Tribolium castaneum: one gene and its partner. The protein of the gene in region 1 purifies or fractionates together with the protein of each later gene. This does not show direct contact. Links are inferred from orthologs where the notes say so. Each region holds a gene or a part of one and is shown in the gene's direction. Other genes may lie near its edges. The genes, in order: mTor and raptor.

Region 1 (3,677 bases):
CACTTTAAAAGCCATGTGGTGGCAAAGGCTCCAATCGGGCCAAAAACTAGTCGAAGATTGGCAAAGAATCATCCAAGTCCATTCCTTGGTCTTGACCCCACAAGAAGACAAACGAACGTGGGTGAAATACGCGTCATTGTGTCGCAAGAGCGGTTCATTAGTAAGTTCATACTCACACTTGATATTTTTTCTACAGTCGGTTTGATAGATGCTATCGCAAAAAACCCTAGTCATGTTACTCGGTTACGACCCAAGCGAACGTCCCGACGCCCCCTTGCCCAAAAACCAGCCTCACATCACACTAGCCTACGCCAAACATTTATGGGTGGCACAGGAAAAACAAAAAGCGTTCCAAAAACTATCACAATTCGTCGCTGACTATTCGCAAAACGAGCCAAACGACGACGTGACAGTTGAAGAGAAAAAAAGACTCCTGGCTAGGTGTTACCTCAAACTGGGGGCCTGGCATGAGGCACTTGAAGGCATCAACGAAACCTCCATACCTTTCATTTTGAAGTGTTACAAACAAGCGACTGAACACGACCCTCAATGGTACAAGGCATGGCACGCTTGGGCCTATATGAATTTCGAAACGGTCTTGTATTACACGAGACAGGAGGACAAGACGCACTATACAGTCTTAGCCGTTCAGGGATTTTTCAAGTGAGTCGGTTAAAACCGTTTTTTAACCCTAATTGTTCGTTTCAGATCGATTAATTTATCTAAAGGAAGTTCATTGCAAGACACTTTACGTTTATTAACACTGTGGTTCGATTACGGCGATTGGCCCGAAGTTTACGATGCCATAGTCGAAGGCATTCGTTTAGTCGAGAAAAACACGTGGCTTCAAGTAATTCCGCAATTAATCGCGCGAATTGACACAACGGCGTTAGTATCGAAATTAATCAATCATCTATTGGTTGATATTGGAAAAACGCATCCACAAGCCCTAGTCTATCCGTTAACCGTCGCAACAAAAAGTAATTCAATCAGACGTAGAAATGCAGCTAATAGTATTTTAAAATCGATGAGTGAACATTCCCCTACGTTGGTAAGTCAGGCCATGATGGCCTCAGAAGAATTGATCCGAGTGGCAATTTTGTGGCACGAAATCTGGCACGAGGGACTAGAAGAAGCCTCAAGATTGTATTTCGGCGAACGTAACGTTAAAGGAATGTTGCGAATTCTCGAACCGTTGCATGCGATGATGGAAAGGGGGCCCCAGACGTTGAAAGAGACGAGTTTTAATCAGACGTACGGCAGGGATCTGAACGAGGCGCAAGACTGGTGCCAAAGATACAAGGTTTGTATTTTCACCTAAATATTTGCTTTTTTTGTCTTTATAGTCTTTATCAATGAGGAAAAATTAATTAAGTTTTGCTAAAAAAACCTGTGGCCACTTCACCAAGAAAAATTTGTTATTTCAGCTTTCGAGCAACATTAGAGACCTGAACCAGGCGTGGGACCTCTACTACCACGTTTTCCGCCGCATTTCGCGTCAATTACCGCAACTCACCTCCCTCGAATTACAATACGTATCGCCAAATTTGCTAGTTTGTCAAGACTTAGAGTTGGCAGTGCCTGGTAGCTACTGTCCAGGACAGCCAATCGTACGCATTGCCAATTTTAACCGATCTCTCGAAGTAATTACCTCAAAACAGCGGCCCCGAAAACTAGTAATTCGTGGAAGCAACGGCAAAGACTACATGTTTTTACTTAAAGGTCACGAGGATCTGAGACAAGACGAGCGTGTTATGCAACTGTTCGGTTTAGTTAATACTTTACTAATGAAAGACCCGGATACGTTCAGGCGGAATTTGACGATACAGCGGTATGCGGTGATTCCCCTGAGTACGAATTCGGGTCTGATTGGGTGGTTACCGCACTGTGATACGCTGCACACTTTAATACGGGATTATAGAGACAAGAAGAAGATTTTGTTGAATATTGAGCATAGGATTATGTTACGGATGGCGCCGGATTATGATCATTTAACCGTGATGCAGAAAATGGAAGTTTTTGAGCACGCACTTGAGCACACACATGGTGACGATTTAGCGCGGTTGTTGTGGCTGAAAAGCCCCTCGTCTGAGGTTTGGTTTGACCGGAGAACGAACTACACGCGGTCTTTAGCTGTGATGTCAATGGTTGGGTATATTTTGGGGTTGGGGGATCGCCACCCCTCCAATTTAATGTTGGACAGACTGAGCGGCAAAATCCTGCATATAGATTTCGGCGATTGCTTCGAAGTGGCAATGACTAGGGAAAAATTCCCGGAAAAGATCCCCTTCCGTTTGACTAGGATGCTAATAAACGCCATGGAAGTGACAGGGATTGAAGGCACGTACAGACGGACTTGTGAGTCGGTCATGTCCATGTTACACCGAAATAAAGACAGTCTGATGGCGGTGCTTGAAGCCTTTGTTTATGACCCCCTGCTTAATTGGCGATTGATGGATATTGAGGTGCGGAACTTGCCGATGAACAGCGATTCAATGTCGACGAGTTGTTCCCAAAAACAGGGCTCATCCGAATCGCTCAATGTTCCGAAACGCGAGATGATAATGGAAGATAACGAACCGCAACACGAAGTTAATGCCAGGGCGGTTATTATCATCAATCGAGTTAGAGATAAACTGACCGGGAACGATTTCGCTACGGAGGAACCTTTGACTATTCCTAAGCAAGTCGATCTGTTAATACAACAAGCGACAAGTAACGAGAACTTGTCACAGTGTTACATAGGCTGGTGCCCCTTTTGGTAACTCGACTGCTGCATCTAATACCGTGATAGTTTTTTGTTGTGTATCTTATTATTTTTTATATAATCTAGTTGAAATAAAGTAATTATTACAAGTGTGTGTTTAGGAGCGCAATAAACAACTAAGATTAATACAAACTTACCAAACGTGCGATTTGAGCGACTTTTTATCACTTAAAATTTTATCAAACTTTTTCAAATGACATAATTGACAAACTGAATTGCCAACCTGGCAACAAAAATACGTTTTCCACAAATAATTCGAAAAAACACAATTTTACCGTAAATAAAATAATATTTCGTGACCACTGATCAATTTTCGCACAAACTATTTTATTATTACAGGTTTTAAGGAACATTTTAGCAAACTTCAAAAAACTGTAGTTTTGCAACAAAAGACGATCAAACACGAAAAAACAAAAAAATTAGCATTTTTAGCGTTAAAAACGTGCAATTGTAATAAAAGTATATTGCAAGCTTACCTCAAATGAGTCTGGCCGTTTTTTTATCAAACGTAATCACTTTTTGTGATTAACAATTTTTCAAAATAACGCAATTGTTAGTCACCTGTCAGCAAACAAATTTTTGACAGCCGACAAATTTAAAAAGATTTGGTACATTTTAATAAATTTATTGATTAATTGTTGGTGACTGGAACTGGTGGGGCAAGAGTTGCCCCAAATCGGTCACAAAAACGTGCTCCAGGTCCGACTTCGAAATAAAAATTTTCATGTTGCCGTATTCGCTCATGAACTGCCTGCAGGCGCCACATGGGGTGGTGTAGACGTTTTCTTGGTTGCCTATCACAGCCACAGCTTTGAAACTTTGGAACCCTTCACTAATGGCCTTGGCTAGAGCCGTCCGTTCGGCACAAATCCCCACAGTGTAGGCCGAATTTTCAATATTACATCCCCCG
Region 2 (4,505 bases), about 160 kb from region 1:
CAAAAAAGGACTAATAACTGCCGACAATTTATTAAACTTAACTGTTTCATTCAATTTTCCCATCAGTCAGTTCTTGCACAGCCTCTCTTGCAGTTTATTTATTAAGTCAATCAATTGGTTCATTCAGTACTGAATGCTACAGTTCAGTTAATAGAAGTGCTGATTTTTCAGCTACTTGTGTACATAGATTCAATCTTTTAACCATGTGCTTCCTTTGAAATATGGGTAAGCACATCAATATTGTGAATTATATATTTCTAATACAAAGTTTAATTACATATTTTTTACCCAGTTTGCGAGACGTGTTTTAGGTTTTTTACTATGTATCCGCTTGTTGTTATCATTTTGATTCGGAACGATCCTTTTTACTATTGAGAACTTGAACCGCCAAATAAATTGTATAACTTAACATAGTTTAATAGGTAATAAATGAATCGTCAATTTCTATAGCAGGTTGCAATATTTTCGGATTTCTGTAGGCAATTGGACGCATTCTTCATGCTCATTTCATTTTTATATTACATTAACAGAGCAAGACACTGTTTAATTCAATAATAGAAAATAAAATGTTATTTTAAAGTCTGTGTATCATTTTTTTACCAACTCGAAAACGTGTGGCGACACTTGATTGAACTTTATTAAGCCAGGATGGCCAACTCAAGCAGTCATTTTGGATGACTTGCTACTAACGCGAAATTCCTATTATTTTAAATTATTAAAGGAATTTCAAAAGACTGTATTGAGAGTATCAATAATTGGGTGGGAGCAGCAAACACGCACAATTTTATTTGTAATTTTATTAATCATTTTCGTGCGTTACAGATTCTACAGTAGCGAATTTCTCGCCTGAGACTGACAATAAACCTAACCCTACAATTCCACATTTTTTATTATTCACCGTTAAAAAATGGTTAAAGCGGCATTGGACCCCCTCGTGAATAAAACCCTCAACATCCGTTTATTCCACAGTGTTGAGAACGTGTCCGACTTGCGTAAAAAAATAATGTCAGGTCAACTTGAGTGTTGTCTCGTAAACCCCAAGTTGATTGTGGACCCGTTCCAGTTAGTCGTGGCCGCAAACAAGGCCCTAACTGCCAAAAACCGCACCACTAAAACGATTTTCACTGAAATTTTATTCAATTTGTCTGTATCCAAACACATAACGAAAAGTTTGCAACAGTTTGGGATCACTGACGACTGTAGAGACTTGCTGGTGGTGACTGTCGGCGACGACGACAGTCGCGTTCTTTCTGAAATTAAAGGCACGGAAGTGGAGTTGGGGGCACTTGAGGAGATTCGGGATTTGGGCGCTGTTAAGAAGGCTTACAAGATTGGGCCTGAGGAAGGGGCGACTAGCACTATTGTGGACTCCGTCGTCAGTAGGATAGCCACTAAGGATTTTATCTCGCATTGATTGTATTTAATATTGATAATAAATTATTAAAAAAGCTCTAAAAGCTGTTTGATTTTGGTGTTCCCGCTCGAGTGAACGAAAAACCCTAACAGTTGGTAGTAAGATGGCAGTTTTGTTGTCGTGCCATGCGTGTGTAAATTTTAGGTGTTGATTCCGTTTTTTGATGTAATCGTTACGACTTAAATAAATCCCACTTCACAACTCCTAAAAAACCCGAAAACGCGGCTGAAAACTATGACAGAGTTGGGTGTCAACGGCAATGACGAGAAAGACAGTGACAAGGAGGCTGTCTCCGACAAGGACCTGCCCCTGAGCTTCATGCAAGACAGGCACTTGGAGCCCATCGAGGGCGTCGAGTGCATAACGCAGACATGGCGCATGAAAGAACGCGTAACTGCAACCCGCCCACAAGTTGCTTGTTTTAATTACAAAATTCCAGATGAAAACAGTGAGTGTGGCCCTAGTTCTGTGTCTGAACGTGGGCGTGGACCCGCCCGACGTGATGAAAACCCAGCCATGTGCGCGTCTGGAGTGCTGGATAGGTAATTAGGTCGGCATGCGTTCGCGGAATTCAGGTCGTGTTCCAGATCCCTTAACCTTGTCCGCCCCAAAGTCGATCCAGAAAATCGGGGAGAACCTGCAGGCGCAGTACGAGCGGTGGCAGCCCCGCGCGCGCTACAAGCAGTCCCTGGACCCCACTTCGGAAGAAGTCAAAAAACTGTGCACTTCGCTGCGCCGCAACGCCAAAGAGGAACGCGTTCTGTTCCACTACAACGGTCATGGAGTTCCTAAACCGACGGAAAACGGTGAAATCTGGGTGTTCAATCGAGTAAACAACCCCCAACTAGCCCCAGCACTTTACTAACCAGTTCTCACACAGACCTACACGCAATACATCCCCCTGTCCATCTACGACCTGCAAACGTGGATGGGGGCGCCCTCGATCTACGTCTACGACTGCTCGAACGCCGGGATCATAATCGAGTCTTTCGAGCGGTTTGCCGCCCAACACGAGGCCGAGTACGAGCAGGCCACGAGTCAGTCGCGGCAAAATCCAGTGGTGGCGCCTTTGCCCTCCTATAAGAGTTGCATACAGTTGGCGGCGTGCGGGGCGAAGGAAGTGCTACCGATGAATCCTGATTTACCGGCCGATTTGTTCACGTCTTGCCTTACTACGCCAATCAAGGTCGCCTTAAGATGGTTCGTTCTACAGTCTACCTCAAAACTAGTGCCCAAAGTCACCCTGGATTTGATCGATAAGTGAGTAACCACTTGTTTTGACTTGGAAGTGGGCCAAGGTTGAGCAATGATGCGGACCGCAGACTAAACGCAAACACTTGACGGTTAATGAACTTTTACCGAAATGAAATTGACTGTTCATATTATTTTTAAACAGTAATTTGTGGCTTCGAAAAATTACACCGATAAATATGTTTTACAACAGATTGATATCGCTAGAGTAAGGTATTAACTTATCGTAAAAATATAGATTAACTCGCACTTGCATTAGGTAATTAAATATTTATTTTTAGACGTAATTTACCTGCCTATCATCGGACTTAATCTATTATTTATTAATAAAATAAAGTGTGAAGCATTTTTGTTTGCGTTCCTGAAATAATTTCTATTGTTGCGTTCTAATTATAGCTAGAAGAATTTATTTTTACGCACTTTAAAACTAATGCTGTTTTTGTTTGTTTTCCTTGGCAAAGCAGTTTTTACTCCTTCGAGAATTATAAAAAACTGGTGTAATGACAAAGAATGAACTTGACCCAAACCGCATTAAAAGGTCAGGTCCAATTATGAAACATAAACAGATAAAAGTGGGTCTAAAATTCCATTATCTCCACTTGGAAACTATTTTTTAGTTTTGAAAATAATCACTTTAATAAAATATAATGACATTTTAAAAGTAATTTACGAAAATGCTGTTTCTCTTAAGAACATTACGATTTTACTATTTACCACGACATTTTTGTAATCGATTATATTATTAATGGAATAAATAAGGTGATGTTTTTTTATCTTCTAAGTTTCCAAATTTAAACGATACAAAAATAAAGATGGAGTATTGTCGGAGTTCAAATACGAAAATTGTTTAAATATCCACATTTTGATGAAGTATTAACTGGTTTTGAAAAAAGCGCATGAAATCCTTGCCACTTTTTTGTAACAAAAGAGCAGGTAATTATGTTGAATTACTTAGTACAAAACATTCAATTGCACTAAAATATCCGGTATTTTTTATTTATTTTCCTCGATCCAAAATTCCAAAAATATTAAATCCATAATTACTATTGTGGTTAAAAGGTTAAAAAAAAGTTTCAAACCTTTAAAACAGCTCACGTTCAAGCTGTACATACGTCAGCTTCCTCAATCTTCACCCTCTTATATTGTATTTTTTGTTTTTACGTTTAAAAATCAGTAATTTTTGGGTGTCTTTTTTTTTAATTTTTAATTTAAATCTCCAAACGTTGTAAGACTGACAACTTTTATGATTATATTATAATAATATTTAATAATAACAATAATAGAAATAATAAAAAAAAGTAATAGTATTTTTCGACCATAGTGTAACTGTTTTACTTTTGCGTTTCATCATTTTTATTTTCACTAACCTTCCTGACAATAAGACGAATAAGAGAAGTGATAGTTTACTATTTACTAAGGAAAGAAGGTCGATGTTTTTTTGTAATTTTTTATAATTTATCTGAATAAATACATTTGTGGATAAAATTGTAGGAAATCTAGTATGTCCTATAATAGACAGGCAAAATAAAAACACCGTACTTGAGTGTTTTTCAGTTTAATCATGTTTATACAGTTTTTTTTTCAGTTTTAATAAAGTTTGTTTCAATTTTTTTTTATAAATACTAATTACTAAACTTTCTCATTTGAGCTGAATTACAAGGTTTATACTATTTATTATGAATACTGGGCAAAAATTAAAATAAAAAGATGCAAAATTTAGAGAAAAAAGTTCATAATTACTTTTGATTTTTAGTCTTAAGACTAAAAAGACTTAAGACTTAAAGACAAGATTATTTTTTCTTTCATTTTCCCAGAATACCGGGTCAAATAACCGACCGCC

Evidence for each region.
Region 2: the proteins of mTor (region 1) and raptor purify together in Drosophila melanogaster (affinity purification with western blotting; 3 studies listed by BioGRID, with this or other methods). This does not show direct contact. The link is inferred for Tribolium castaneum from reciprocal best matches to the Drosophila melanogaster genes mTor and raptor.

The regions. Positions count from the first base shown.
Region 1 is NC_087399.1:3,310,561-3,314,237, forward strand, and holds the end of mTor (serine/threonine-protein kinase mTOR), read left to right. Parts: coding exon 1-160; intron 161-208; coding exon 209-663; intron 664-708; coding exon 709-1,303; intron 1,304-1,427; coding exon 1,428-2,765; 3' UTR 2,766-2,856; downstream 2,857-3,677. Other genes in the region: cytidine deaminase, read right to left, coding at 3,392-3,677. UniProt on the Drosophila melanogaster protein: Promotes cell and tissue growth, maintains tissue homeostatis and controls responses to environmental stress and aging. Regulates growth during animal development by coupling growth factor signaling to nutrient availability. Central regulators of autophagy.
Region 2 is NC_087399.1:3,466,132-3,470,636, reverse strand, and holds the start of raptor (regulatory-associated protein of mTOR), read left to right. Parts: upstream 1-1,491; 5' UTR 1,492-1,648; coding exon 1,649-1,804; intron 1,805-1,853; coding exon 1,854-1,956; intron 1,957-2,001; coding exon 2,002-2,243; intron 2,244-2,294; coding exon 2,295-2,674; intron 2,675-4,479; coding exon 4,480-4,505. Other genes in the region: EKC/KEOPS complex subunit Tprkb, read left to right, coding at 908-1,414.